Schizosaccharomyces pombe: one gene and its partners. The protein of the gene in region 4 binds, or shares a complex with, the protein of the main gene of each other region. Each region holds a gene or a part of one and is shown on either strand. Other genes may lie near its edges.

What was found.
Region 1: mrps18 (region 4) and rsm18 share a complex: the UniProt entries of both Schizosaccharomyces pombe proteins name them as parts of the mitochondrial small ribosomal subunit.
Region 2: mrps18 (region 4) and mrps8 share a complex: the UniProt entries of both Schizosaccharomyces pombe proteins name them as parts of the mitochondrial small ribosomal subunit.
Region 3: mrps18 (region 4) and mrp21 share a complex: the UniProt entries of both Schizosaccharomyces pombe proteins name them as parts of the mitochondrial small ribosomal subunit.

What each region holds. Positions count from the first base shown.
Region 1 is NC_003421.2:719,231-727,292, reverse strand, and holds rsm18 (mitochondrial 37S ribosomal protein bS18m), read right to left. Parts: upstream 1,304-8,062; 5' UTR 1,284-1,303; coding exon 783-1,283; 3' UTR 501-782; downstream 1-500. Other genes in the region: SPOM_SPCC18B5.05C (phosphomethylpyrimidine kinase), read left to right, coding at 1-263; protein kinase Wee1, read right to left, coding at 2,426-5,059. UniProt on the Schizosaccharomyces pombe protein: Component of the mitochondrial ribosome (mitoribosome), a dedicated translation machinery responsible for the synthesis of mitochondrial genome-encoded proteins, including at least some of the essential transmembrane subunits of the mitochondrial respiratory chain.
Region 2 is NC_003421.2:326,131-334,169, reverse strand, and holds mrps8 (mitochondrial 37S ribosomal protein uS8m), read left to right. Parts: upstream 1-1,603; 5' UTR 1,604-1,686; coding exon 1,687-2,145; 3' UTR 2,146-2,690; downstream 2,691-8,039. Other genes in the region: ago1 (argonaute), read right to left, coding at 1-33; tfx1 (translin family protein), read left to right, coding at 3,726-4,421; DNA-binding transcription factor, CBF1/Su(H)/LAG-1 family Cbf11, read right to left, coding at 4,709-6,468, 6,547-6,628; uri1 (prefoldin-like protein), read left to right, coding at 7,076-7,223, 7,298-8,039. UniProt on the Schizosaccharomyces pombe protein: Component of the mitochondrial ribosome (mitoribosome), a dedicated translation machinery responsible for the synthesis of mitochondrial genome-encoded proteins, including at least some of the essential transmembrane subunits of the mitochondrial respiratory chain.
Region 3 is NC_003423.3:614,604-622,656, forward strand, and holds mrp21 (mitochondrial 37S ribosomal protein bS21m), read right to left. Parts: upstream 3,571-8,053; 5' UTR 3,536-3,570; coding exon 3,460-3,535; intron 3,366-3,459; coding exon 3,076-3,365; 3' UTR 2,588-3,075; downstream 1-2,587. Other genes in the region: its8 (pig-N family GPI synthesis protein), read right to left, coding at 1-1,560, 1,713-1,863; U1 snRNP-associated protein Usp107, read left to right, coding at 3,751-3,769, 3,819-5,656, 5,706-5,936; ER uridine diphosphate-glucose transmembrane transporter Hut1, read right to left, coding at 6,032-7,000; DNA-directed RNA polymerase III complex subunit Rpc31, read left to right, coding at 7,729-8,053. UniProt on the Schizosaccharomyces pombe protein: Component of the mitochondrial ribosome (mitoribosome), a dedicated translation machinery responsible for the synthesis of mitochondrial genome-encoded proteins, including at least some of the essential transmembrane subunits of the mitochondrial respiratory chain.
Region 4 is NC_003424.3:4,963,835-4,971,958, reverse strand, and holds mrps18 (putative mitochondrial ribosomal protein subunit S18), read left to right. Parts: upstream 1-4,096; 5' UTR 4,097-4,202; coding exon 4,203-4,736; 3' UTR 4,737-4,969; downstream 4,970-8,124. Other genes in the region: OUT family ubiquitin-specific cysteine protease Otu2, read right to left, coding at 1-364, 411-770; tma23 (ribosome biogenesis protein), read right to left, coding at 1,314-1,715, 1,780-1,872, 1,954-2,067; gab1 (Pig-U family GPI transamidase subunit), read right to left, coding at 2,360-3,194, 3,422-3,813; SHREC complex subunit Clr2, read right to left, coding at 5,070-6,683. UniProt on the Schizosaccharomyces pombe protein: Component of the mitochondrial ribosome (mitoribosome), a dedicated translation machinery responsible for the synthesis of mitochondrial genome-encoded proteins, including at least some of the essential transmembrane subunits of the mitochondrial respiratory chain.

The DNA of each region.
Region 1 (8,062 bases), on a different chromosome or scaffold from region 4:
GTTGCTCTCTTACAGCTGCCATTGCATCGAATCTGGCTTGTAATATACCACCTTTGCAAGCCATTCACGAAGCTTTATATTCAATCGAGTGGGCCATTCAAAGGGTTCATAAAAAGAGTTCAGATCCCTATAAGAGTGCTCAGCTATTTACAGCTTTAGGTCATTCTTCTAAGTTCTCAGGATCTCTAATTTCGTTAAAGTCGGAGAATTACATACCACAAGCTGATTTAACTTCTGTTCTTTTATCTCATATACCTTCATGAAAAGCCCTATTGCATATATTTTGAACTAGCTCCATGATGCACTCATCGTTTTAATATCGTTCTATAAAACCCAATTCTTTTCTAGATGGATTTTTTCTTCTTTTGCATATAATTATTTGTTCTTCCCTCTCTGTCCTCTTTAGATAAGTAAAATAACTACTACTAGATAATTTTTTTAATACATTGTATCGACTAACGCTCCTCCTACAAAAAAGTTCAATCAAGCTAAATTAAAAATTAAAGATAACAAAGATATTATATTTTTAAAGCCATTAAAAAATGTTAGCCACTAATATTAGCAGCGGTTTATGATTTTGTGTCATGTATATTTTAATCCAAAAAAGACTATTCAAAACCAAAGTACACCTGAAATATTAATTAACGTGAGCTAATCATTTAAAAAGTAAAGTAGATCGTTTATCGTTCCTTAAGAAAAAAAAAGTAAGGGACAGTGGGTAAGTATATCTACCAATGTGATGAAATGAGATATAGAACGTCCTTGTTAATATTCAGTACAATTTAATTTTCCGAATAAACTGATTTGTATTTCGTCGGCATTATACCAGCAGCTCGAGCCCTTCGGATAGCCCTAGAAAGAAGTCGTTGATTTTTTGCTGTTAGGCCAGTATCACCTCTGGGTTTAATACGACCAAGTTCAGTAACGAATCTTGACAATATTACGGGGTTTTTCCAATAATTCATAGGGTTTTCGTTCACCGTCTTAAAGCAATCTTCTCTTACTGGTTCATAGAATTTGGCTTGATTTTTCGCCTTTACCGTTTCAAACAGTAAATCATTGGGAGAGTAAATATCACCTTCTTCTACGGAGGCTGATAAATATGATGGAATATTTGAGCGAACTCTTCTCTGAAATCCTACATTTGAAGATGCTTCAGAATTTCTCTCATTAAATTTTCGATTGTCCGAAAACCCTCTTCGCGTAGAGTTATTAGATTGTATGAGATTGCATAAAATAAATCCTCTGTTTGGAGCTGGAGAAAATATTCGTCTCCCAAGCATTTTTCTCCCGTGCTGTTGTCAAAGTAATATTTCAATGTTTGAAGGTGTTTAGTGAAATAATGAGACACTCGTTAAATAGTTTATAGCTTATGCTTGTGTCTGATAAATGAAAACGTGATGATACCTGAATTTTCTAACTTTTCTGTTTCAAAATAAATGTTTATTTAGATATGAAGTGTTAAACGGGTCATTAAAATCCTATACTAATTTGAAGGCATCACAAACTTGAGCATATACACAGCTTTCACAAGCATAAAAAAAAAGGGAAATTAAAAATTACAGAAGTGGAACTAAGCATAACGTTAACATTATTACTAATTATTATATGATATGATAATAATAAAAAATCTAACGGGTTATTAAACTTCGTTAGTAAATCGTGGCATTTTCCATAAACATAACCAATTATTTGCCATTCAGCAAGATCGTAAACTATGTACAAGAATAATAGGCAGTGTCATCGATCGATCTAAATTATTATGAAAACAGAAGTCAAAAAAAAGTGGATAAACAGTCGGGATTCGAACTTTATGCTAGCAAAGATGAGTAAATGCAACATATCAAGTCGATAACAAACGAGTGACATAAGAAATTAGACAATAAAATAGATGAAAAATAGGAATAATAACTCCTCTGAAGCCGAGTCTACATGTTAGAGAAAGGATTTGCGATATAAAAAACAATCGTTCACTAACATTTTTTCAGTAGACAAAGCACGTACAGTATGTGCGGCGTCAAGGCTTTAAATTAAGGAAACATTCTAGTTCCCCATATCAAGAACTGAATGGCATGTTTCCATAGCCATCATCATATTGCCTCAGATATAATTAACCGGATATTTGACTGAAGAAAACCAAATAGATAATCCGGTGAAAAGGCAAAAAATTAAATAGAAAAACTATCATCTAATAATTTTTTAAAATTTTTTAAAATTTAAGGGTTCGGTTAAAACGGACACGTATCCTTAAATAAAAAAAAAGCATTTAATGAACCAAAATTAATTATAAGCACCAATCACTAAACTTTTCGTTTAAAAATAATTAAAGTGTTTGCTTTTATGAAGCTAAACAGATTTTGGAAGCCATTCCCTTATTTCGCAATTTCGCAGTAATAAACATTGAGAACAAGAGTCTCTAAAAGGTTTAAACATTCACCTGCCAATCTTCCATCATTTGATCACCCTGGGGGTTAGAAGAAGATCCATGAATACCTTCATAAATTATGGCTCCGGCTTTTCTACGCATTTCAACCCAGCAAACCTCATCAGTTGCCAAAATTTGATCTATGGTAGGTCGGTTCCTAGGCTCTGGAGATAGCATCCACTCTACAACGCGATCAAGTCCCCCTTGGCCTATTATACTATTAGCCGGTGTTTCACGAGAAGAAGAAGTAAGAGATGAACCGTTGTCTGTTGAAGAAAGTCGAGGAGCATCTGATAAGTCACCGGAACGTAATTTCTGCCAAGACTGACCGTTATCAGGAAGAACAATGTTAGCAGCAGCTTCGAAGACTGTGATACCCAAACTGAAAATATCAGCAGGTTTATCATACAAATGGTTAGCAAGAACCTCAGGCGCAATGTATTCACAATCACCTTCTCTTTCCATGCCTCTCGGAACAGGCCAAACACTGGCCATTCCAAAATCACCAATCTTCAAGGTACCCTCGAATGTTATCATAACATTAGCAGGCTTTAAATCCAAATGAACATAATTTTTATGATGAATAAACTGTAGCCCAAGAGCTACTTCTACTAATATTTTCCATACCCTAAATTCATCGAGCCTTGAAAGTTGTCCTTGCTCTTCAAGAAAACGATCCAAACTACCATTTTCACACAATTCGACTTGCATATAAAGAAACCCCCCATGTTCCCATGAGTCCATAAGCTCTACAATGTGATCATGGCCTTTAAGGGCTCGTTGAATAGAGACTTCCTGAAGTAGTCGATTACGTTCTTTTGGTCCACTAAACTTTACCTTGAGCTTTTTCACTGCATACTTTAAAGTTTTTTCCACAGGGTCTTCAACTTGAAAAACCTCACTAAACTCTCCACTTCCTAGTAAAGTAACATTTCTAAACCGTGTAAGCAAATGTGAAGTAGATGATGATACTTTGGACGAGGTGAGAGCAGAAGGAAAGGATAATGTAAAGCTTGAAGAAGAGGGTTGAGATACATCAGCTTCTTCCTCCATGGCAAATGACATTTGATTATTATTTCTCGATTTGATAGGCGAAGGTTGCCGACCGTCCATGTGAATGGAAACAGTATTTTCAAACGCAAATGGGTTACGAGTAGGCGTAGCGGGACACCTCTGATTAGATAGAAATGGTAATCCATAGTTGTGAGAAGTTTTTACAGCAGAAGGAGGAGGATCGAACCTCAAAAAGTCCATGGAACTTTTCTCCAACTGAATAGTAGGAATGGAATTGTGATTTGTAGGAGTGTTTTCCCGTTGAATAAAATAAGAGTCGGTTTGTGTATTGGAAGGAGTCGAGGGTGATGGAGGCGAATCTGTGGAGGAAGAATGTGGACGAACAAAGGTAGAGGGTTTTGAAGGAGTACTAGGAGGGAGAGGTGTAAAGTTAATATTCTTTCGCGGACGATGTTGCTTGGATAAAAGACCTGTACTCATAAAAACTTGGGAAGGAGGTTTGATTTGTTGAAAGGGAGTAGTTAACAACTCAGATGAGGGTGGGTTAGGTAGAGTAGCATTGGGGAAAAGGGAGAATGAATTAGAAGAGGAGTTAACCATACTGTTATCAGAAAAGAGGGAAGATTCATTTTGTTGGGTTTGAGGATGTGAGCGATTAGAAGGGATGAAACTTTTCATCATAAATGATGCATCCTTAGAGCTATTTCGTGAATGGTTGTTAGATACGGCAGACTTAGTTTGGCTGGAGGCAAACCCAAGCTTGCGTGCAGTAAGTGGACGAGCGGTAGGAGAAAACAAAGAGGATTGAGCGGAGTTAGAAGGGAAATGATTAGAGGTAGTGTGTCGAGAGGATGGTATGGACGAAAAAAGGGTAGAAGGATTAGCATTATTTGAATTAGGAGGAGCGGGTGTGGAAGTCGATAAAAAATTAGGCGATGAAGTTGCAAAAGGAGAGAAGGAGCCCGATGCAAATGGAGAGATGTGGGAATTTGAGATACGAAAAGAATCAAAATTGTTTTTCTTTCGCAGCTTCTGAGCAGGAGTAGAAGGAGGTATGTGTTGAGAGCTTTGAAGGAAGGGAGATGGAGAGTGGGAAGGAGGGGACATTGCACCGTTTGACATGGAGGAAGAAAAGAAACTTCGTTTTACACCAGTAGATGCATTTTTATGAATGGGAAACGCACGAACGTCTGAGGGTGAAGGGGCAGTATGGTGGATGGGATTAGCCACCTGGGCAACAGGAGAAAGAGATGGAGAATCACCTAACCGAGAGGAAGAGCGTGATACCAGATTGGGTCTATCAAAAAGGGAAGGCCGCCGAGGTACAGGTTGTGCCTGTATCTGGGGTTGTGAATGTGTAAAAGAAGGAGGAGAAAGAGGGTGAAGAGGGGCGGCATGAGAGAAGGAAGGGGAGGAAGTGGTCTGTTTGCGAGGACCGAATAAGCTAGTGAAAGAGGTATTTGGCTTTTGCGAAGAGGTAGATGAAGTAGAATTGTTAGCATCATACAGGCTCGATGGAGTTGGAGGAGCGAGCAAAGTAGCACGATTTAGATTCATGGAGCGTTGGGACCGCCGTAAGCCATAAGATCTATGACTGCTGGTATTAGAAGAAGAGCTCATGTTTTCTGTATGGAAAATGTGGCAATTTAACAAAAAAATAGATATGAAATTTTTGATTTAATTAAATTGAATTGGAATGCAAACGGAACAGATGTACGAACGAACAATCGATAAACGAGGGAAGTGCGAAGCAACTAGGATTTCGTAGGTAAAGCGTAATGCACAGTTGTAAATGGAATAAAGAAAAGGGAGAAAACAAAATGAAAAAGAAAATTCCAACCGATATTCTGAAGGCCTACCACCTCAACAAAAGAGAAGAAATTGAGCCAATGCTCGTAATATTGTCAAAACGAAGGAGAAACGTCAAAAAAAGAGAAATGTTTAATAAATTAAAAATAAATAAGAAGAAAACAAAGGCAAGAGAGCAAAAAAGCTCTCGTTTGCTTCAACGAATTATGTCTATTAATAAGTAAAGTGGTATGTTGAGGTTACGACGAAGATATTGCACCCACCTACTTTTACTAGTACAAAGGGGGGGTTCAAAGCCGCTATAGCCTTAAAGTGTCCAATCCGGTATTAGGGTATGCGTTCCACTCCAGTATTCCTTTAAAGCTGAGTGAGTGAAATTAAGCGATAGCTTATTGTGGAGCACTGAGCCGAGACGTTCCCTAGAAGAAGCCAAAAACAACGAAAAAAGGTTAGCAAACACGGAAGGAAAACAAAGAAACGGAACCACAAAATTTTCAGCAAATTGAACGTCTAAAGCCTATAAAGAAAGAAGCAGATAAGGACGCTTAACAGCTGATTAAAAGGGAGGGGAAACTATTTTTCATAAATAAGGAGAGAATGCGAAAATCACGTCGGAAGGCCGGGTTGAAGGAGGAAGTATTATACCGAAACTGGGCAAAAAATCGTAATTCGTTGGTTAGTGATATTGCTTTCTCCTAGCTAAATATGTATAGTACAGCGTAGTGTAGTGTAGTGTAAGGTAGTTTTGGGATCAGAGCAGCGAGAAGTAGTGAGAGTTGGTGGTGAAAAAAATGTAAACAGAAACAGGAAACGAGTGGATGAGCCGAAACTACGAGTTTTTGAAGGAGATGGTTTTAATGAATGTCCCTTTTTCTTCTTCGCTGCTACAAAAGAAAAAAAAATGGGGAAAAGACAAGAAATATGAATAAGAATGGAAGTAGCTTACTTTTCCGATGGAAGGGAAATGTACCAAAGTAATGACGAAAAGGTCACACACTGGAGACTAACTAGAAGCGGTAAGTGCACGTTAGTATGTCGATCTGTCCATATATATAAAGTAAATAATCAAAGGAAAGATGTAAAATTGGAAATAAATGAGAAAGAAAAGATATGGAAATACGATCCCTAAAATAACATGCAAAAAACAGAAACGGTTCAGATGAATTCAGGCACTTGGCATGGTGAGTGGTGGAAAGAAAGACAGTGTGATGTTGATGAATGAAGGAATAACCAGTAAACAAATGAGAGATCCCGTTAGCGACGGAGACAAAAAAGCGGAAGGAAAACGAAGAGATGAAAAGAGGTGGTGTGAATGGTTTAGCCTGGATTTTGATTTAAAGGAGATGGTAAAAAAAAAAAAATTGTGGAATTAATGTTATTGTTGTTTTAGTAAAAGTAGTGGTGGGTCAATAGAAATAAAATTGGTTTCACTTTGCAAAATGACAATACAATAAAAGTCGTTTAAAAAAAAAAAAAAAAAAAAAAGGGAGAAAAATCACCTTTTAGTCTTTACATGATTCTTCTATTATCTATCGATTCGAACATTTAAGGGTTGCATGGGATAAAGCAGTGCTAGTGTTAAAAGGTAAATAGAAAAAGAGAAGAGAGAAAAGGAATGCAAAAAATTAACAGGGAAGGAAAAAAAGTGCCTCTAAGCATTCAAAAGAGAAGCTAAAATTAAAATAATAAACATGAAATGACTTAAAGAATGATAATTAAAGTTGTTTTATATATCAACGAATATTCTTTTTTCTTGAACATTAGGAAATTGTGTTAGGATTCAGATATCGAAAGGTATGGAAAAAAAAAGGGGGAGACGATAGGAGCAGAAGAAAGTGAAAGGGGGGCAAAGAAGTAAAAAGACAAGAATTAAAAATATTCGGATTTGCAAAAAAAGGAAAAGTCAAGTGTTCTTTTTTTAGAATCCAAACCATCCAAAGTGGAACATTTTAAGAAAGTACAGTGAGAATAATGGTAAATCAGATAGGCGAAGTATCATAGAATTTGTTAGTTACAATGAATGAAACAATCAATAGATAGAGGGAATGATTAATCATCTCAATCTTCTCTCGACATAGAATAAAATAGGTTTATTAAATATATTAAACCGAATTTAAATAGTTGCTCAAAAACTCATTTATCTGGCAAAATTTACGAAAACATTGTCAAATTGCAAGAGAAGCACTAGACTATAGCATAGCTGTTTGAAATTAAAAAAAAAAAATAAAAAAATAAAAAAATAAATAAATAAAACTTAAAAAAAGAAGAAGAAGAAAAGAACCGAAGGAGAAAAATATTTAAAATAAATTAAAAATATACACACATTTTTTTTTTTTTTTTTAGAGCCTACTTACTAATCTCTTTACACACACAAATAACACAGATTCATTTAGTGCTAGACGAACGAATCGAATGCAAGTTAATTCCTTGTTTGTCACATAAGGAGCTCTAAATTTATTCACTATTCATCACTAAATGATATACTATTAAATACATAGATGAAATTCATCAAAGTTATAAGGCAAAAGAATTTCCAGAAAATGTAGTCTGAATTAAGCATAACTTTCTTGAAGAACTACATAGGTTTCATTCATCATAATATCAATACACCACCTTTTTACTATTACCACTACATGTTTATAGATAATCTGCACTACCAATAATTTTCATAAACAAATACTTTTTTTTGTGTACTGTTTGCCTTTAAATTTGATGGCTGTTTCAGATTTTTTTTTCTTTTGTGCTTTCATTCAACTGTTCTGTATTTGTAATGTAAAAACTAATAACTTGGCCAACAAACAACGACTGCTTGTT
Region 2 (8,039 bases), on a different chromosome or scaffold from region 4:
TAAAGCTATTTCTGAGCTTGGTTTATACGACATCCTACTCACTCTGAATCATAAAGGACGAGTTGGCTGAAGACAATTCGCTTTGGCGGTTGGAAGCTTATATATACCAAACCCTAGATTAGGACTCATCATAGTTGTCTTGTATATAAAACCTACTTGAGTTATAAACTATATTAAATCAAAAAACTATCAAGAAAATATTTTATTTATCACTTTGTTATTTACATGCTTAATACATTCGAATTTTCTATATACTAAGGTCTATTTCTATACTTCTCTGAGCACGCAAACGCAACATAAGTCTTATTTAATTTCTGAACATAAGAAATATAAGCTTATCTTTAACAGCTTTTCTTAAATTACCGCATAATTTTGTATAGGTTTATGTTTTTTTAAAGGTTCCAAATCGACGGATTTTTGAGTTTTAACCCTTCTTTCTTTATATCGTGGTTGTGATTCAATAAAAGTGAACCCAATTGTTATTTGTAACCATTGACGAAAATTATAGTACATTGAATTACTATTTGTTTACTAGTTCTATATTAACAATACCGGGAGGTTCAAAATCAATGATTACTACTTGTTTTCTTTTTCTTGTTATATTTGCTTGCTTGAAATCCTCTTTATAGTTATAATACATTTTTACAACCTGCTTTTGAGAATATTAATCTGGCAACTTTCAAGTAAATGATTTCGGTAATTGCACTGATTTTTGAAAAGTGTTGATTTCGAACGTCTTTCAAATTAAAACGGACATTTTTTTATGAAATTAAAATGCCTTGTGCTTTGTGTAATACTCGTTAAACAGCTTACCGAAACTAACAACCTTTTTAAGAAGCGAAACTTAATTAAATCAATATATTATACTGAGTAAATCAGTAATTTCTGGACGATCGGCCACATAAAGAAGCATTATAAATCGTTCTCCATACTGTTAGGCTTTTGTTTTCAATTCACGTTTTCTTTTCTGTAATTAAAATATCAGTAAAGAATTCGTTATGCCATTATTTTATAAAAAATTTTTATAATCCTATACAATTGTGAATTTACATTGTATTCAAATGCTTTTTTACATCCCTATATTTTACAGGCGTTCGCTGTTGTACCGCTTGTTTTTTTGAACACTGCTTATTATAATTTTTTCGATTATTACATTTGCGAATACCTTTCGAGGATTTTGGAACTACTAAACGCACAAAAATTCGCTTCCCACTTCTGACAACTTTGTGGGTTTCATGGTAATTTGAATGCTATAATATTAACAGATTGACACAGCGATTTAGATCCATATTTTATTCTGTACAAAGTAAATCTCTAACATTTGGTAGACGGCTTTTGCCGTAATAACCGTTGGTTTTGCAATTTTGCGCCTTGTTTTCCAAACATAGTAAACCGGTGCTTTTAGTTTATTATATAGTGATTTATTGTGAACTTTAGTATCGTGTCGTTAATATACTACTATCCAGTGATTACTGCAATGTCCATTAACTTGCTAATAGTGTGTAACACTAGCTACACCGTTCACTACTTACTATTCTTCCAGTACAGAGAGAGGTATTTGGAAGTGACTAGCTAAACTGCATTCATACCTCTTTTCTTTCCTCAAAACACCATTCTGTATAGAAAAAAAAGGCTTTTATTGTTGGACTGCTTATAAAAGATTAGGATTGTGTTAAAAAAGTCGAAATGCAATTGCATTATGTTTTTTCGCATTTGCAAAATTCATTTCGCGCTCGCAAGTCGTTAGCAAGCGTTCCTAACTGTAACAGTGTGCTCGAGTTATGTGCTGTTTTGTATCATCAAGGATTTTTAAGCTCGATTCAACGCGGAGATATTCATGGACCCGATGCTTTACCCACAATCACCACTAGGCAAAATGTAGCGACCCGCCGTCTATGGTTGGGTTTAAAGTACTTTGAGGGAAAACCGGTTCTTCACTACATACGTGCAGTATCAAAGCCTAGTAGAAAGGTGAACTTGACTCCTTCTGAGTTGTTGCAATTTGCCAAAGGAAGGAAAGTTAGCTTTGTGAATGGGTTGGAGCCTGCAGAAGTTGGAATTGTAGAAACTAAACATGGTATAATGAGTATTGACGATGCAATTAAGAATAATTTGGGAGGAAACGTTATATGTCGAGTTAAATGAGGCTTCGATGGAAAAAGTTATTATTACGTACAACTTCTTTCCGGATACATTGTCTCCTTTCTCTATGTTAATAAGAGAATAAACATTACTCATTTGTTTTGAAAATTGAAGCAATATCTAACAGGCTGGTTAGATTTAAACTAATATGTTTAAGTTTTCCTTCTCTTCAGCTAAGGATCAATGGCAGAATTCCTTTTAAATCTCCCACTCCTTTCATAATAGTTTGTGAATTGAGATACTGCATATTTACACATCCCATTCATTAAAAAACATAGTCTTAATTCCCATTCCGCCAAAACATAAATCCTTTTGTTTTACTATTATTCGACTTGTGATTTACGAATAAATGTTTTTTTACACCTGAATTTATCCCGTCTCCTTTTGTCAACTCACAATATTCCATATGCTTAAAATTATACCCGCAGAAGCTTTTTTGGAATAGAAAAAATATTTGTGTTACTCTAGTAATGTAATGATAAACATGTTTAAAATACATAAGGAAAATCGTTTTATAAAATATATAATCGATGGAGATTGTATGCGACTTCTAAAGCATTGTGTAAATTAAATAAGGTTGATTAAGTACATAGGAAGTATTTACAAATGTATAATCTGTGAATGACAAGGATATGTATTTGTCAATACTGCATTTGAAAAATATATTATAAAACCATTATTAAGAATACAATTTATTTAGATCTATAATGACTATGGATAACAACTAGTCGCAATGGTGTAGTTGGGAGCATGACAGACTGAAGATCTGTTGGTCATCGGTTCGATCCCGGTTTGTGACACTTTTTATCAGCAATTACAGCTTTGTAAATAAAGCATTTAACACAATGAATTTTGTGCCAACGCTGAGTAGGAATAATATCTTTCTCTACATACTCTTTAACTGGGCAATCCTGGTAATGTATTTGAGTAATTAAGCAGTATTGAGTCTGTTTTCATCGGCATTGTTATTTAGTAAAATGATTGATTGATGAATGTACACTCTTTCGTTAATTGCAAGAATTTATGCTGTGATAAACAATCATTTGCGCCTTGGATTTTAAGTAGGCTAAGATTTATTTTAAATACTAATGATGTTGTAAATATAAAAAGGACGGGACTCTTTTTAAGAAATATAACTAAATAACACGTGGAAATGACAAAAAACTTGGGTAGTTATTTTCAGAATTGTTCAAGCAAAGCTCAAATTTCTTTCTTTATATATTTATTATTTTCACATGTTCAAGATTTTATTGTCAGAAGCAAATGGCTTTAGTCCACAGTAAATTTAAATAACCAAAAAAATTCATTATTCCTATTAACCGATCTTTATTAACAATATTTTCTCTTCATTCCATACATGGTCGATTGTCCTGCTGCAGCTCAAATCACTATTTCAATTTCATAGCACAGAGCCAACTAACCTTACTCAATGATCCACTAAACAATATTTCGTCTCTTAAACAACAAATAGTCATCTTGATTTGCATTTAATTCAATTGATAATATAGACTTATACATTTATACCTTCCACACGGCTTTGCTGAATTGAGGATATTATAAAACTTTAACCGAATTTGCCAAATATGGAAGAGGAATTCCTCTCATTTAAAAATTTTTTACAGGAGGATCAAGATAAGAGGGAGAAAATTATTCGTCTTTCTCGTGAAATCACAATTCAAAGTAAACGAATGATCTTTCTTTTACATCAAACATCCTCTTCTGATGGATTTCCTCTACCCAAGGATTTCGACAGAACATCCATTTTTGAAAAAAAAATTCACAAAGAACTAGAAAGTCTGAAGAGAGAGTTGGCTGGATTAAATGCAGACAAGTTCTCTTCTGCTTGTACACACGGCCTTCAAGAGTATGTTGAAGCTGTCACTTTCAAATTCTGGTTACAAACAGGTACGTTACTTTCTTGTAAAGATAGTAGCTTTAGAATTTCTATTAATTTCATCGACTATGTACTCGGTGTTTGTGACATGACTGGTGAAATAATGAGATTCCTTGTAACCAACGGCTCTAAGTTCTCTGTCCAACAACTCACTCAGCAAGTTAAATTTCTTCGTGGACTACACAAAAACTGCTCAGAAATTGAACACTTACCATCTAAGGTCAAGTCAGAATTACAGCAGAAATTATCAGTAATGGAGAACAGCATTTCAAAAGTTGAAGGAATTTGCTATAGTAAAATTTTAAGAGAAGCAGATAAAAGATATTTAAATTTGGAAGTGGATACAGCAACTCCTCCCGAGGAGAAACGATTACGGTCCACATAATATATGATCGACAGCTCTCGACAGACACCTTACTAGTTTATTAAAAGTTTTTCTGTTTTGCAGCTTTTGAAAATCATAATTATTAAGTACATATTTTCGACGATTCAATTATCTTATCAAAAGCTTCCGCTGCTTTCTATATGTTAGAGTTTCCATAAGCTAGGATGTTTGTACAATATAAAGTTCATTTAATAAGAGAGATTTCAACCTAATTCCATCATTTTGAAAACAAATTGTATTTCAATATTTCGCCATATGAAACCACACGTAAAATTAATCATGATGCATCAGTTTCCAAAAGCACTTGACGTTAGCAAAATCTCGCATTTTCCAATAATGACAATCCCACCTGGAATCACGAACAACAAAGGATACTTTTGTTCTGCACAAGAAGGATCATATGAAATTTGCGACAGACCTAGAGTGACCGTACCCATTGTACTCGTATCAGCAGCTGCGGTAAAACTATACGACAATGGTCCATGAACACCTAGCCAAATTTGTAATCCGACCGAATAGCCTCCAATTTTAAATTGTAATGAGCGCGAGCTCTCCAAATATTCGGGTGGCTCTTCAATATATGGATAATCAGTAACCGTTGGTACAGGATTTTGATTGAATGGTAACATCATCGTACAGTCAAAATGTGATATGCCCACTATAGTCCAGCATACAGAATCTCCAACTCGAGTCATTTCATTTGAACTCAAGTTTCCAACAGCTTCCCATTCTATGGGCAATATAGCCTCACTAGATGCATTTCTGTTTTGTGCCGACGTGGCCCCAAGAAACCAACGGACTGAAATATTATTGGAATATGCCAGTGAACTATGCTCAGCGATCTTAAGATGCCGTACGTTTGATATGGGATATGCGCTTTCTAATACAATTCTATGCATTTGATTAACGTAACCGTCCTCCTCAGCAATGTGGTCTTTTTCTACTCGTCGAATAATTAAAGGGTCACTCGTCGTTCCTGTTGCTTCATCGACCAATTCAACGATGGAGCCATATTTAATGGGTTCTGGGTTATCGACATCGTCGCATACCTTCAGTTTACCATTTTCATCTGGTAATAGCAGGTTAATACGCAATGGCACCCATCTATCACCGCGAAGACAAAACTGACCAGCCTCAATCGATGTATACTTTGTACGTACAGTTTGTGAATTAATCCGGTTATAAAGGCTGACGACTGAACCGGATCGCAACGTAATATTACTAATTTTTAGTTTGCTTCCTTTTTTCGAAGGTTTGGAGACAATACTAATAGAAGAAGTAACCAAATGAGATAACAATTGGTTATTTACATTCGAGAACATGTCCAGAGAAAGCCGTAAGTTTTTAGATTTCGCAGCGACCAAACTCGATATATGCAGTGACCGAAAAATCATACATCCTTGGCCAGTGTATTCTTCGCTGATGGGTTGCGAACATTGCCCAAAATCATTCATTATTGATATCTCAGTGCGAAAAGACTGATTGAATATAGAAGAGTAATTCCCATTAATATAAACCATAGGGGGTGGACATAGGTAACGTTTCTCTGACCCATAAGACTTTTGTATGACAGAGGAATGTCGACACGAAACTGTTACCAGCTGACTAGGTTTCCCTGAACGTGTAAGTGAAATTTTGTGCACACTGTCCTCATTCAAATTAGCAATGCCAATACAACAATTGTTCAGTAAATCCAAATGATCTGATATGGCTCTTCGGATCATCTCTACAGAACTGTCTTCATCAAAGGTTTTTCTTTTTCTATTAAACCCAGGAGGAGAAGGAGCAGGAATTATGTTTTGGGCCAGCTCGTCCAACGAATTAGACGCCTTTGCTACAGCAGGAAAAATTGACTGTTCATCCTTAACTACAGAAGGGAATTCCTCTGATTTTTCCAAAGTAGCCAAAGCTGAGTTTACAGCACTGAAGAGAGACAAAACCTGCATGGAAACACTTCCAGGACTCCCGCTTCCAACTCTTTCAGAATTTTCATTCCTTCCTCCAGCTCCATCCTCCTGATTATGCAAACCATTATTTATGTTGTCCACTAGAAAAATCCGTTAGCTATTTTACGCTTGGGATGTTCAGAATGATTTATAACTCAACCATCATTGCTAGCGCTTACAGTTCAACTGATTTAAATTTAAGGAGCCAGAAGTATTACTCCCAGAGATATTTGCAAAATCCCAGGCAAAATAGTCCCCCATTAATGTTCAAATTATGTTTTATACTTGCTTAAACTGTTGGACCTATAGGATTAAGACATGCATTTGCTTTTACTTAAATTATTTTCAGTGAGAAAATATTAAAATTTAAAGTAAGGGACCAAATTACTAGATGCTTAGGACATTTGCAGTATGGCGCTTTCTACGTACATTAGGGTCAGGTCGGTGGCTTCCTACTCAGTTTGAGCCATTTCCATTAACATCGATTTTTCGATATTATATTAGTTACCCTGTTATTTAAATACTAAAAGTATTTAAAATTTATTAGAATTACTTATTATCTCGTTTTTAAAGTGAATATTAGCTTGCCCGAATAAGCTGTATATGCCTTTTTCCGGAATAACCACGAAACGATCGTTGGCGTGAGATTATTTTGAATTAGAAATTCTTCAATAACTCTATTTAAGATCCTTTAAAACAACTTATCGAATGAACGACGAAAGACTAGTAGCCATCAATTTTGAACAGCAAATCTTCTCTAAGATTAGCGAAATTTCTGAATCAGTCGGTAGGGCGATCCGTTACTGTAAGGAAGATGGAAAAGTTGAAGGATGTGAAACAGCATCCCATGTGGATTGTACGTTACTTTTTCTTATAAATTGAGTGATAATGTTTGCTTCATCAAACGACTAATTGCTAATGAAAATCCAGTCTTAAATCATATTCATTTACTTTTGGGAAATTACAATAATGACTTAGCATCTTCAATTGAAAAGAAGAAATCCGAGTTGATAGTAAGAAACTCAGAAGGGTTACCTGTTATGGATATTCATGAAGAAGTTGATAAAGATGGAAATATTATAAGTGCTTCTGTTGCTCCACAAAGAATTTCATCTGTAATAGATTATGCGGATGTCTTTCGATCCCTTCCTGGTTTCAAAAATATTGAAAATGGGGGGAACCGTGATACATCTTCGAGAATTGAAGAGCTATCTGAAGAAGAAATTAACGATTCTACGAAAAATATTAACTACAAAGCTCCAGAAATGGGCTCATTACCTTCTAATACTGAATTTACTTCAACTCCAACACTTGGTGTCTCAGAATTTCCCAGCAAACATGGTGATCATTCAGACAGTAAAACATATGAGAGTCCTATTAGTAATAGTCAGGCTGCTTCATTGAGTGATTCAGATATGGTTCAACAAATTAAAAATGGTAGCAAGACTTCTTTGTTTAAAAAGGGTTTTCTTTTCAAAAAAAATAATGCAATGCAAAACAGAACTACTTCAAATATAAAGTCAAACGCTTCTGCTATTGAAAAAAATAAAGAAACGATATTGAATGCTCTCAATAACTCTACTTTAAATGAAAATGGACATCAAGATACCCAAAATGAAGTTTTACGAGACATTGTGTTAGAGCATCCGACAGCGAAGGCCCAAGATACTGG
Region 3 (8,053 bases), on a different chromosome or scaffold from region 4:
AACTGTAAACGATAAATTGTAACAGACAGAGAATACACAACGAAATAAACAAAATTTTTAATAGAGAAAACCCATGCTTTTGCTTTGCAACTGTTAAAAAATTTTTGAAACCAAGTTTGGTATTTGGGAAAATTGAATGAATGAGTTGCAGAAATATGGTTGGGAAAAGAGCATACCCATAATAAAATGGTGGACTAGACTGGATATAAAAAAAGATGCAAATTAACAAAAAAGGAATATTAAATGCGACTCTCTTGACGACGGAAACAGGCTTTACTATTTTGGAGGATGGTTCTATGTTTAAGCTGAAGACAAAGCATATGACATATCCAATCCAACTCAAATAACCAAAGAAAACAATAGATCGAAGAAGAAGCCAATCGTAACGTTGTAGGTAACGTAGTCCAGAAAGAACCGTTTGGCTAAAGTGGAAACAATGCTCAATAGCAATTTCATATTCACCAGATTCTATGTCAGCAATAACTGAGTTGTAAAAGGATGCTTGTACCTCTGTATAGTTCCTCAAAGGAGAATATGGGCGAAAGAAAATACTAGTTTGATCCTTTGAGGCAGACTTTAAATTATATTGTTCACCAATTTCTAAAGCATTCATTAAGGCAACCTCAGCTTTGCGGCGAGAAGAGCAATCAAGATAATCCAAGGGTATTTGACCCACGGAATTCACAGGAAAATTTAAACCGACAAGGTAAGACATTAAAGCTGCAATATCTGCTTGTTGTATATCAATACGTTTTATCTCCGTCAAATTCCATGGCAAAGAATACTCGTCATGCCCATAATTCTTCTCATGAGTAGGACTTTGAATACCAGCACCCCAGGCAATGATGGGAGTACGTGTATTATCAAGGTTGCCATCACCATGACTTCCAAAGTCACTCATACCATGGTCTGCTGTAAAAACCCAGCTAGAGGCTCCGTCGTTATTGTAGTAGTTGTTCATCTTATCAACGAGTTCTTGAATTTTTCCATCTATATACTGTATGTTTTCGACATATTCAACTGAGTCAGGGTGTTTATTATGGCCAATTGTGTCAATGCCCAGTAAATGAAGGAAGAATACTATTTTATCCCGATGCAACATATCCCAAAGTTCCTTATCCTCTAAAGACTGAGCGAGAAGTTCATCTAGCCTATCAAAAACCCATTCGTCAAGAACAATTCCGTTGCTAGAGAAATCCTCCAATTCAGAAGAATACATGAATGTATCAACTCGAGATGGATCAGATGCACCTTCACTAAACATAGGCAAAATATCTTCGGATCCAAACGAATAAGTATGCCGACTCTGATTAAACACAGAATCGAAATTTACTGGATTTTTTTTCCAGCCTTTTGTGACGGCTGAAACATCTTCGTAAAAACCAGCTATTAGAGCAACATGTCCGGGGCGTGACTCGGTGGGAACACGAGTATGAGAAACACCGAAAGTACCGTTATTCTGAATAATTGATCTTAAAAATGGAGCGGCATATGTCTGCTCTTCTCCAATGACCTTTTCGGAATGTGGTTGTAATAGTTTATCAGGACGTAGTCCATCGCCTATAAGCATATTGGTTAGTAAAATAAGAAAAAGAAGGACAAGAAAAAAGTTGTACTATTTCTTGTTTTTTTTTCTAAATCCAAAACGAAAATATGACATTTTTTTCATTAAGCTCTATACACTAATTTCACTATTACAAATGTTTACTTACCAACAATTAGAAATAGGCGTTTAGCAGGAGCTTCGCCTGCAGAATACTGCTTCATGCCATGTATTAGAGGAGTTACGAAATAGATATCAAAAATGGATTTGAGAAAGACGACATGGAATAAAATCCCTAACAGCAAGAGGCGACCAAACATTGCGAAAATTTAAGCGTGAAACCACTACCACAATTGACTGGGAATACTAGGGGTTTTTGGCAAAAATTGGATAGATGCCAGGACGCTTCTTGGAAAAGAAGGATGCCCTAAACAAGGCAAGAAGTGTTTTGTTCTGGTGAAGTGCGTTTGAGTGTTGAGTCGTTACAAACATCAACAGAAGTCCCCTTTAATCTACCATTGGTTAAAATTCAGATGATCTACGCTCGATCTAATGAATAAGCGAACGCTAATGAATGTATACTGAGTTTTGTAATTAAGGATGCCGTGTTTGAATGCACTAATGAATAGTGGTAGCGCTCCATCGTATATTGTGAGCTATGGCCAATATGCGTAATTAGTTCTAGCTGGATGAAAGAGTAAATAATCAGAAATCTATTAAGGAAGTGATAAATTACTTTATGGTATGCAGTGCACAATAATGGGACTTATAGTCATCTGGTAATTAAGCAAAAAATGATTCTGTAAATGGATATTTTCGGTATTATTTTAATTTCCGTTGACAGAAATGTAAAATGGATGGTTATCATTTCATTGCTCAAATCCAAGATTAATGAAAATTCAGCGGTAAGCATATTTGGTTGTTACACGTTGAGAGTCGGTTTACTCATGACGATTATAATAAGATAAAGGGATACAACCATCAAATTGCTGCTACATGGCCAATAATAAAAAAATCATTTGCAATACGAAAGGAAACGAATTCATTTATTATAACATGCAGAAGTAATAACTTCCTGCGACCAGCATTAGTTTGAATAAATAGAGTAACAAACTCATCGATTTAACTAAGAAAATTGTTATAGGCTAGCAAAACAGAATAGTAATATTAGAGGGTAATGCAAACATTAAGCTCAATCTCGCAGTATTGTCAAACTGAAAAGATAAAAGAAGGTAGAGACAGTTATTAGACAATAAATCCTGTTAAGTAGAAAATCATAAGATAGGGGAGGGGTTAAGCAAAGATACCAGGAAAAATTTAGAAATGACAAAACAAAAAACGAATATTTCCCAAAAATGTCTAGCTCTTAAATCCGCGGAGAAGTAAAAAGCAATATATTATTTTACTTCAAAAGGGGGTTTTCGAGCATTCTCGTCTTAAATGAAAAGCTATGAGAACAACGATCTCCAAATACATTAATTTAATATGGATTTTCGTAACCAAGAAATAGAATGAAATGTTCGAAGAATCACTCAATAACCCCAACGACGCATGTTCTTTGCTAAGTTTACAAGTCGAACAATTCCAGCGCGGAACCTTGCCCTGTGTCTTTCTGAACGAACGCGGGATCGCTTTTCGGATGGTTTTTCATAAAATCTCTGTGAACGGAATAGCCTTGGCACATTATTCCTTTGACATATTCTATCAACTTGTCGAAATGCTCTTGTTAGACTATTTCCAACTGTCACACTTGCACCTAAATCTTTTGTTTCTGCTGCGGGTATCATAAAATGAAGCGAATCTTGGAACGCACCATGCTCCTCTAAATATCAATAAAGTATTAGCAGACAATAATCCAACAATCGAAAATCATATTCTTGAAAGACAATAGCAACTTCAATGGATTTTCTTCGTACCTTTTCTCTTTTGCAATTTCCTATTTGTATGTACCCATCTGACCCCTAGAACACCTGGGAAATAAGAACTGTTCATTTTAAATAGTTATTTTGCGTTTTCTTGGCAATTTGAGAAGCCTGAATCTCACCGCAGTACAACTGCATAAAGAATTCGTTAAATTGCCTTGAACATCGATTTTTTGCATTAGCGTAAAAGACATAAAATTCATAAACTAAAAATAGGATAATCACATTTACACTTCACTATATACCTTTACATGATACACATGAATCTGTTTTCCTCCAACAACTATGCAGCGGCAGAATACGCGTAAGTAATTTCAATTTCATTGCTAAAGAATTTATCTAATTTTATTTAGAGGCTGCCGGTATGCCAATGATGCCACAGGTTCCTATGGTTGGCAACGGCGTTCCATATGTCGTCCCAATCCAACCTGTATTCGCCCCTTTACCTCCTGATTACAGGAGCTTATACAAAAAATTGTATGGCCAAGGCGCTTTTTTGGTAGATAATCCTGTTGAGGCAAGTAGTCCCTATGATTTTTCGCAGCCAATTCTGAAGTTTGGTAAACTTCCCATAAAACAAGTTTTAAGAGATAATGAATCGCAACAAAAAGATAGAAAAAACTTACCCCGAAATCAAAAAAGTAATGAGATTCAGGAGAAACAGACGTTTCAAACACCTTCTTCAGAGAAGTCTACAACAGAAAGGGAATCGCGGCCGTTTGTCCCTCCAAATAGTCAACAAATGCGGCGGATGCTCTTTATTGGTAATATACCGAAAGAATTGGATGATTTTTGGATGGATAAAATTCTTCGATTGTCCGGGAAGCTGGCTTCTTGGCGAAGGGTTGCTGATGCAGATAACTCGATGACTTCGTTTGGATTTGCAGAGTTTGAATCAAATGAACAATTCAGTAGAGCATTAGAAGCATTAAATGATTTTGTTGTTCCACCTTTGTACGAAGGTGGTCCTTCAACTCGCTTGTCATTGATTACAGATGTTGAGAATGAGGGATTGTATCGTGAATGGCAAACGAGTCGTTATGCAAGAAATAAGCAGAAAGAGATAAACATTTTACAGCAAATTCGCTTTAACCTCGAAAGAATTTGTCAAGATATAGGCAATTTTGATGTCCGTTCTCGCATTGAAAGGGCAGCTCGACAGGCCCGAGAGAAAAACGAAAAATTACTACAAAATGTCAAAACTTCGGAAATTCCCATTAATGCTGCTGATTTAGAAGGAATTAATCCTGAATTATTACCGGTTATTGAAGAAGAAATACGATCCTTTCGCGATCAATCTGCTATGAAAAAACGAGAAAAACAAAGGTCTAAGGACGAGTATGCCAGTTTATATAAAGAGTATACACGAAAAGAACAAGAAAAGCTTCGAAAGCAAAATGATGATTTACAAAACCTTTTGTCAAAACATCGTATTTCACGTATCCCTATGTCTACAGTCAATGCCTTTTTAAGAGCAGAAGATAGCATTCCCGAGTCGTTCTCCGATGAACAAGCTTATTATGAAGAGAAGAGAAGGAAGGATCAATTGGAGGCTGAAGAGTATTACGCAAGGGAACGGCGCTGGATGAATCGTGAAAAGGCCCGAACTGCAGCTTTAGAACGAGAAGCTGCTCGTGAAGAAGAAGAACGTGTTAATAACACTTCCTTTGGTACTTATCTTTCGGAAAAATTAGCTTCTTTTGATGACGATGAGGAAGCTCGCGTATCTCGAGACGAATATTTTGTCGATCGTGCTGCTTGGATTAGACATCGTGCAGTTGCTCGTGCTCGAGAAGAAGACGCAGATGCTCTTGACAGAAAGGAGGAAGAAAGAGAACTACGTACCCGTGGAGAAGGTGCAACCGTTGAGACAGAGAATTATGTCGAAAATGGTAAGCTGGTGACTAGTGAAATGCCTCAACATGAAAATGGTCCCTTCAAAATCAAAATACAAACCAAGAAACCAGCTGTTCCTTCTGAAAGACGAGAATTTGGACTTCCGGAGAGACTGCTTTTGGAAGAAGAAGACGAAGAACCGCAAGGCTATTCTCCCAACCCTCAAAAACCAAAGCCTGCTATGGAAGAAAATGATGCCGAGAAGACGAAAAGACTTCGTTCACTTATTGAAAAGATACCTGTTGAAGCAGAAAGTCTGTGGGCACTACCAATTGACTGGAGCAAGGTTACTGAGGTTTGTGATTTTTTCAACTTTTATATGTATCTAAACTAACACATTATAGGATCTTCTAAAAGAAGAAATGCAAGCTTTTGTTACCAAGAAAATTATCGAGTATATCGGTATTCAAGAGGATTCACTTATCACATTTACCATTGATCATATCAGGCAACATAAAGGTGCGGAACAGTTAGTGTCTGAATTGGACCTTGCTCTCGCTGAAGATGCTCCAGAGTTTGTTAGCAAAGTATACCGATACTTGCATGTACTACTGATTTTACGTTCTGAAGCATAACGTACATATTTGGGTAAAGTTTTTATTTAATGGTGACGATTAAAAGTTTGTAATATGTATTTATAAGAAATTTTTTTAAAAAAATAAAGGCAAACCTATGATGCCTTTTTTTTCGCAGTAGAATTGTTGTTTAGTATTTTGAGGCCGGCTTCTAGGGAGATTCCCAAAAAGACCAATAAAATACCAAGCCACTGAATCGAAGATACAGTGTGATGAAAATGAAAAACACTAAGAAGCATGGTGAAAATTTTTCTTGTAAGTGTAATGGTAACGAGCGTTATGCTTCCAAATTTTTCAAGGGTGAAGAAAATGAATAATTGACCGACAGAACCTGTGCAAGCAAACAACAACATGTCTTTAAGGATGCTTGGATGTCTGTTTATAAAAGACAAAGGCTGCTGGTTGCAAAAAGGAGAGATTAAATACAGGCCATTTAAACATGCGATACCCAAGTTGACCGCAATCATCATGGTAACGCTTGATAATTTGTATTTACCAAAAACCTTGTCTTGAGTAGTATTAGTAATTCCGTCCATGAGCAAATTAAAAAATAAAAGCAGTAAGCCAATAGGACTATCATGCTCAGCATGTTTACCTTTGGAAGAAGTGTTTTGAAAATAACTAAAGATACTTACACCTGCTGTAATCATTGTAACAATCAGGTATTTGTGAGGAGGAAACTTTCGTTTGTAAACGAACACATGTAAAGCAATAACTGGAAGTAACTTGCATGATTTTCCCAGAATAACAGTAGGATAAGACAAATGAAACATGCTTGCATATCCAAAGTAAGAACTTAAGCTAGCCGATATGGCAATACTAGAAAAGTATCCTAAAAACTTAGGCTCTAGCAAGCCTCTAGCAGAAACACCATGAAACCAGTTCCAAAGCAACCCACAAAGGACTGTCATGAAGGACTGTGCTAAGCTAAGTAATGCAGGAGAAGAAAACCTTTCACCATCGTAAGGTCTTGTTATAATTTTCTCCTGCATAACTGCCCAAGAAAGAAATGAACCATAAATCCCAATCATGCAAACAAATAATTGTCGCATAAAGCCAGCCATTCTAAAGAAATTGATGAACCAAAGGTAAAAGGAAAGTAACAGAATTAACCAAAGAATGTAACTTTAACAAGGATAAAGCAAAAAGGGTCTTGAAAACTCGCTCAAGTGAAAGTGATAGTCGTAATACTTAAAACACGAAAATTAATACAGGAGTCTTTGTCTAATTTTCTCTAATAGGTTTACAACTTCAAGAATTAGGCAGCTCAGTTAGATCATCGTTTTCTTAGCTTTTGGTGTTGTGCCTTTTGGTTGAGTTTTCGAACACAAACACCCACACATAGCCAGACATTGGCAAGTACAAAGTGATTAATCAGAGACGCTTAATCACTTTTACATTGGTTATTTCTTTTTTGTTTTTTGTTTTAAAAAGCCGAGTTTCTTTCATCTATCTTTGGTGATCCTCTTTTAAATTTACTTGATATTTTCGTTAACCAACTTTTGGCACAATTTTGAAGCCCTATGGTTTGGTTTCTTCTCAAAATCTAGTTTTTTATTTAAATATTCTACATTTATTTAGTTCTTTTTGAAACCTATCACTTCTCATAGCTAAACTACAGCTCTTTTTAATTTTTTTCAACTTTTTGTTACTGTGGTGGGGTAATTGGCTTATTATTTTTGTTCCAATCAATAATTCAGAAAGAAGTATTTAAAAGTTTTTTCCATTGTTAATGTTAAACTCTCTGTCACACTAGTTCGAACGTTTGAACCCCATTCTTACAATCATCACAATGCGACGTGGAGCTCGTGGATCTACAAATTTGGGAGGAATGACATGGCAAGAAGTACTTGAGTTTAATGCCAATTCCACACCAACAAAGTTATACCCTGATCGCGATATACCACTTCAACGATCTATTCGACCTGAGGAGTTACTTGAACTCCGTTTTTACAAAGAGATACGAACTTCATTTCTAGATGAAAGTGCATTTTATATTCGAAGGAATCCAATTAGTGTTGTACAAAGGAATGAGGATGGACTAGTTCGTTACAGTGATCGAAATAAACCCAAACGGAAAAACGACAATTTATCGCTTTCAGACCTTGATTTGGATC
Region 4 (8,124 bases):
CAATATCACTTCCCCATTTGCTATTGTTTCGAATTTCGTTACAATAATCGGATACTGGCAAAACTTCTCCAGATTCTTCGTCTAGCAAAAAGCCTTCAAACTGTTCGCAGTGCTTTAATACATAATCAGCGGATTTATTACGAAGAGCTTGGCTATTTAGTTTAACATTATGATGATAATTTAACTGATGTGAAATGGAAGCAAATAAACAATTTCCATCCGCTGGTATATCGACTGCAACAAGTCCAGCTTCCTCAAGGATTTTTGAAAACTTTTTTTTCTCTTCATTTTTGAGATCAGCCATTTTTTCTGACTCTAGCTCTGCCTGCTCAGACATTTTTTTCATCTCTGCTTTACGTCGTTCCTAATTAACTTTGTTAGTGATAATTCGTCAAAAGTTAAGCACTTACAAGTCGCTCTTTTTGTCTATTCCTAGACTTTTTAGGCTGTTGCGGTGTATTTTCTTTAGTATTCAATGAGGACTGAACTGATGATTTTTCTGCCGTCGTAATTTTCGTATCTTCCATCTGTTGTAAAAGCGTATTGAGGAGATCTTCTTGCTGCGTTTCATTTGTCTCTTCATCGCCTTTATCCAATTTTTGTCGTTCTGTAGCATGTTTTTGTGATAAATCGGCTTCCATTTGTGAGATTTTTTGCTGCAAAGCCCTTTTTTGTTTTTTATTTCCTTCCTTTAGTTGTTTACGAAGGTTTGTAATTTTGCTTTGAAGTTCTTTACATTCTTCCCGTTGCTTACTTAACAATTCCTCCATTTTTTTAGACTTTCGTTTTTGTTGAGTTGGTATGGTAGTTTGAGTGTAATAATATGCTAATGGACATCTCATTCGATGCTTCCAATTTAATTCATTTAGACATTATATTTACATAGTATAATATTCCCTTTCCATGCATAGCCTTTTATTCATTTTGTAAACATTCAATCATCCAATGCAGAGTTTTATAATAAAATATATATTCTTTACTAGGATCCTATTAAACATCATTTAATTTGTAAAACAATTCAATTCTAATAATTTATTAATTATTTATATACAATTAGACTCCTGTTTCCAAATACCAAATTCTTTGATACCCATATAATACACCCCGTCGTTCAACAAATGTATGCCCGCTGATAAACGAAATGAAACTACAAGAAAAACAAATAAAAAGCTTTAAATAAAGTGTGTTTTTGAAACTTCAAAGAATTAGAAAACTTGCTGTTTGGATGTTCGAAGACTTCTGGACGAATCGTAAAATAAAGAATTCCAATTCTTGTTCATATTTAAAGCTAGGCAAACGATTTTTCTTTCCTTTTAAGCCTTTACCTTTTTAGTACCCGAAACCTTCTTAAGTCCACTTTTAGACGATTTTTTTGATTCTTTGTCACGAACCTTTCTTTTTCGTTTTTGAGTATGAGAATCATCTAATTTTAATCTCTTGGATTTTTTTTTCAACTTGTCCTTCTTCTCCTTCTTTTCTTTTTTCTTTTTGGACTTCTCTCGTTTTGAAGACTCTTTGCCAGAAGTTTTTCTGACTTTGACTTTCTTGGACGATACTGGAGAAACAGAGGAATCAAGACTCTTATCAACTAAATCTTCCTCAAAGGTACCACAAAGTCGACCAGCATAACGAAACACAGAAGACAGAGCAGAATATTTGCTGTGATATTTTGCCATTCTCAATTTTGTAGATACACCATTGCTTTGGACTGCAACCTTTTCCAAATGTTAGCACTGTGTAAAAGAGATAGGAAAAATTGTATATTTAAGTTGTTTTTACCTTTCCGTTGTCCGTATTTACTTGAATTGACTGTAGTTGAGCAGAAAAAACATTATCCCACCATTGATCAGCAATATCATGTTTAGCACCAAGCTACCGTGTGTTAAAAATAAATTCATACATAACTTTACTGAAAAAACCCATCTTTTTCTAAGATTTTTTATTCTGACATACCCCATGAGTATTATATTTTCTAGAAGTTAAAATTGGTTTGGTGAGCCCTCCTTCTTTTAAAGCGTTTCCTTCCTCCCAACCAAAGGAATTCAAATATCTTTTGGAACTAAACATCAATGGCTGATGAAGTTTTGCATAAAACTTTTCATGGGTACTTCGTGGTAAAGGGAGTAGTGCCATGGGATGCCATGAATACCTAATATGAAAAAAAATAAAAAAAGTCCTTGAATCGTCTCGGAAAAGGAAAAAAATATGAAATATAAATTTCCTATTTGTATGTATGAATAAATAATTTCTAAACGTTAAATTGGAAAAGGTCGTTTCGTAAGGTCAGAAAGGTGAGGCTCTAATGATGAAATTGGATAGATGAAGCCTAAGAATATCATTTTCTAATTAACAGATTACTTTATTGAACCTGTTTTAATGGAATATTTTCATGCTGTGGGTGATTGGCATACCAATCAACCAAAAGCAGTGCCTTGAGAAAGTCCATGATTTTTAAAGAGAGTCCAAGAGCAAGAATGAGGTTACTTGCGTAATAAAAATTTGCATTTCCACATCCAAGAGTTATCCAAGAATGGTAAAATGCAGATCCCAGTACAAGCGCAAACACAATAGCATTATTTGTAAGCAAGCTATATCGCATTCGGTCTTGGACTTTATTAAAAATTGGGAGGAGAGATAAAAATATTGAAAGATCACAAATACTTGGGTAAGCTTTGAATAAAGAATGCAGGCCAATAAGAGCAATAGTAATAGGCAAGGGCAGATAATAAAGACGGATCGAAACAGGGAGAACAAACATCAATGGTAAAATGGCAAATACAAAAAGGAAGAATGTGCGAAATTCATTGAACATTTCTGTAAAAAAATACCACCAGAGACCCAAATTCGGAGTTAGATCATGAGAGTCCAAGTATACCCTAAATGGAATTTTCAAAAAAGATAACGAGTTCAGAAAGAAGCCTGAAGTTATTATCAGACCTGCAAGATAAAAAAGAAAAACAACGAATATCTGACGAAATTTAATGGATGAATTGCATTTTCTTAAAATAAGATAGGAGGGGAAAAATAACAGTAAAGCGTTAGGATTAATGAATACAGTCAATGCCATACAGCATGCATAAATTGCATAGGATCCGCAAGAGGCGAAATAAATGGTCATTAGAGTGGTGAAATTAAGTATCATGTCTGCGGAGCAAGCAATTCCTGGAAGAAATGTTAATGGGTTAAGCAGATAACTAAAGTAATATTTTGTTAGTAAATTTTGAGTTAAGGATACTTGTTTGCGACACAAATATATCACAGAAGTACACATTTTCAATATCGACTACGAAATCTGTGTAATCAACGCAGTTCAATCTTTGAACAGTCATCGTTAACAATTTTGTAAACCAACGATACAATGCTTTTCATTTTTTTGAAGAATGTCTCACTTTTTTTGTCGCAAGCCATATGCGTAACTTACATGACGGAAATCCATAATGGTGAACAAGTAGATAGTACTTGATTTGGGTCTAAAACACGAGCTTGTTTTGCAATTAAATACACAAAGAGACCTCCCATAGTAGAAATGCTAGTATAAACAAATCTGGTGACAGATATTCCTCCAAGCAACTCACAACAATAATTTAAGATCAGTAGAAGTGGAGACTGATAGAAAACACCACCAGAATAGGGGTCTAGTCCGTTTTCATACAAGTAAAGTCCTTCACGAACACGTAAAAATCCGGATACAGGCGTCGATACTTCGATTCGCCTGTAAAGGAATTCAGCAATCCAAGTGTTTGCTAAATACCATTGAAGAAAAAAAGAAATTGATAATAAACCTAATAGTTTTAGCTTCTCATTTGGTATCATTGCAAAATCTTCACTGTTCAAAAGATGGGTTATATTTGTGTTTTCAATTCACCAATCTTCGTTTAAATTACAGTCGTTGGGTATCCCAAATGATCCGTTTGAAAAACTTTTAAGGCAGCCACCAAAGTAAGATTTTTAATTTTTTATTTCTTTATTTTTTCTTTAAAACGAGAAGAGTGTTTTAGGTTAATATTTACACGTTCATACCACTACCACAGGTTGAGTAACATAAGTTACCTGGTATAGAAATTATGGTATTGAAGCACTCGGTTACTTACAATTTGTCATTTTTCATTTCCTTTACATTTTCATCCATATTTTTTAGTTCTTTGATTTTATTTTTGGTTTACAAATCGGTTCTTAGCAAGCTATTTTTCATCAAATATCTAATGCTTAATTTAACAAAAGTTGGACTACGAAGATTTTGGAGCCAGAGTCCTAGGCGGAATGCGCCCAAAAAGGAACTCTCTTCTCTTTTAGAATCCACAATCACTCCAAAAGCTTTTTCAAAAAGGACGGAGGAGCCAAATCCGATTATGCAAGGTACGGATACCATTCCAATGCCATTTTACCTTCATGCCAAATGTTTGAAGAACAACACTCACATTACACTTTGTTCTCCTGAAAGAAAAATTATTTTTAGGGCCTCTGGAGGAACCTGTGGTTTTCGTAAAGGAAAGCGCCGTGGCTACGATGCTGCTTATACCATTTGCTCCAAGGTGCTGGAACAAATCCAAGTAAAGCGCCTTGGTATTGAAAATTTGCATGTTATATTTCATGGTTTTAGTCAGGCCAGGGAAGCAGTACAAAATTGTTTATTAGGGCAAGAAGGTGCCGTAATTCGAGACAAAATTGTAAAGGTTATGGATCGAACACCTATTAAATTTGGAGGACCGAGAGGTAGAAGGGAGCGACGCATATGAAGTATGTTTATATTACTTTTCTGTTTTCTTCGTTTACGTAATCTTCCTGTGCAGTTAATCTGCTGCCCAACATTGTTGGTGCTTTTCCACCGTTGTATTTGACCTTCTGAACTTAGAAATGATTTATTAATACCGGTGTGATAGTGCAACATGATTTCTTAAAAAAAACTATATCCCATCTCTAATTCAACACAAATAGTTTTTACCTATCTTTCTCTGTAATTTATGAAATGCAAAAGACATTATTATTCCCATATTATTTACATTATAAATAATGACCGTCACTGATCAATAAGTAGACACTTCTATATCTAATTTTATCTGCCATACTTATTACATTACAACTGCTGACACCATATCAATTTCAGACAGTAAATATTCATAAAAATCGTCATCGACCCAATTTTCAGAGCCTACTGCTGATAATCGACTGGATGTGCGTTCTTTCACTTCTGAAGTGTAATTTAAATCTCCTTTTACGAACCAAGGCTCATACCATCTTCCCAAAACATCTGCGAATGGGCAGACGTACTCGACAGATTTATCATGCAGGCAACGAAAATATGTGTTTGATAGTTTTGATACCATTTGTAATCTTCTTGGTAATTCTTTTAAGTCATCCTTATGTTCATCAATATTGTCAGCGCTGTCATTATAATCGAGTGCATTTTTGTCAATTTGTGTCCATAGTGAGCCTTGGAAACAGACAATGTCATCTTCGTTTACATAAATATCAGATATGTACATAAAACTTGTTTTTTGAAGTACAGATGGCAGTGAAGATGTGGATATAACACATAAATCATTAATCCATAGTTTTTCGGCTCCACGGAAAATTCCGTAAAAATGATCATCTAAACTATTTGATTCACCCCCAAAGGTTGGTAAAACTGTGAGAGGGATGGAATAATTTTCGTCGTGGAACTTTGGTTCTTCCATATCTATACCTTCTAGTGGCTGGAAGATACCAAATAGGTTCCACGTTTGACATATAGAATGAGCAACTAGATGTTCTTGTTTTTGTAAATCGAGTGGATGCCGGGACCAAGGCTCAATATCTGCAGCTGCCATGTCAAAGTAATAACGAGAGTTGCCTAATTGTTTGCAATGGTATTGATATGGTTCCACAAAAGTATCAGATATTAATTTGACAGCATCCATCTGGTTACTTTCATAGTTTATTAAGTTCCGAGCCACTATAATTGCTGGAATGAGCTCATTATTTATGTCAATCCATACCACTTCGCCAAGGCGATACGAAGAAGGCCAGGTGTATGTATCATCCTTACATTCATGGAACATCCGTTCATTTTCTTTTTGGAGATTTTTGCGTACACGCGTCATATTACCAGAACACAGAACGCAACAGCAGGTAGACTCGTTACGGGTCAAATCTGATATAAGCCAATACAAATGATGAAGGAAATCATTAACTGATCGAAATGGTCGACCACTGGGATGGCCATAAAGCCAAAATTCACGTTTACCATTGCCATTTTCACGGTTTGAATCACGCTGATATAGCTGGTAATTGGTGGGTAAAGAGGCAAGATAATAATTTTCAAAACTGTCGGTAAGGTATATTTGTGAAGAATATTTAGGTTGTTTTTCCAAGGTGTCCTTGGAAGATTTTGGATTTGGTCGAACATGTCTAGCAGAGACCACATTTTTTTCGGGGGCTGTAACAACAGTGGACGCATTGGTATTATTGGGATTACCGGTGGACAATCTTTTACAAAGTTGGTTGAGAATAGGTTGGGTTGAGCCGGCACCACCGAAAACATGCTGGGCAAGTAAACGACCGCATATCTGGCGGTAAAGTAAATTTTTACTGTCTTGATGTGGTAGTGGCTTTAACGAAGGGACGGATCTTGTTCTGCTATGACCATTTACATTAGGCCATGTATCAGAGCGCCCATCGGACCAAACACAAGTAATAGCAGGCATTAGCTACTAAAAATGACAATAGCTGAAGTTATAACGGAACAAAAGAAGTATGCAAATTATTTTGTGTAGCGGAAAATTGACGCAAAGAGTTAAAAAGAACAGAAAACGAAGCAAATATTTTTTCGGATCTCGTGAAACGAGGATATTGCGATATTTTATGAATGTGTGCAAAAAGCGATTTGAACGTAAGCAAAACTTTGTTTTTTCGAACCAATCAAACAACTCAACTTGATATGTCCTGGATGTACAAAAACCACAGATGAAAATAAACTGGCTCAAGGGGCGAAAGAAAATAAATATTTAGGTTATTGTTGTTTATTTTTTTGCCAATATCGTTTAGAAAAAATCTAAAGAGAATACGACAATTCTGTGTTCGTTGTAAAGAAGTCCGACAATAGCGAAACGAGATGACTCCAAGGCCATGGAGAGACAAATTATTAGTATCTTCAGTATAATTTGGGGTTGAAACGAATAGCAATCGAAAAACTTCACTCTTTTCAGGCTAGATGTCCCAAGGAAGATTACTGAAAAACACCCTCCTACGCTTGTAGATGAAGGGAAATAGCGACAGGTATTTTCTTTAGAACAATTAATAACGTCTCGAGTTCGATCAAGCAACAGCTTACAGTTGAGTAGCAATGAACCAGCGAAAAGAAAGAAATCACCAAAATGCGCTTATAAGATACGTTATATTTTAAAAGATAAATGAGGTATAAAAGCAAAGCGACTTCCAGTTTTCGTGGATGAAGAAGAGCAATGCTTAATGGCGTTGCGTCTGTTTATAGCTAATTCATGAAGTTAATCCTGGCGATCCCATTGAGCAATGAGGAACACGTTACTCGTTCCACTGACCACTTGTTAAGAAGAATCACTCTACAAATATACGAGAGCAGTGAGCGGCAGACTGATATTCCAATGGAAGAAAAAAGAGTTAAAAAAACTTAGAAAATGTTGGAGTGTATGGAATCAAAATACGTCGATAATATGAAGGATATGTGAACGAACCACCACTCCCAGAAAAATTTGAGTAATCGACGTAAACTATATTTTAGTTGTTTGGTTCAGTTAGCAAAAACAAATTTCAATAAATTGAAATATTTGCCAATAAAATACTTGGATTATATGTTAGATTAGCCAGAATATGGATTTTTCTCAGACGAATTTTCAACGATATAACTAAATTAGTATCGTTATATAATATAAAGCTATAATATTAATTTTATAAAGAATATAGCAAATGTCTTACAACGAACAACTTTTTTAACATGACTTTTTACAAGTGAATTAAAAGAGTTAATAGTTTATAAAAATATCAACTCTTTTTATCGAAGTCTTGGATGGACATGGAAACATGACTTCGTCAGTAGTATAAATTGAAAAAAAAAAATTATATATATATATATATCAATCATATATCGGTATAACGATTTTTTAGAATAAG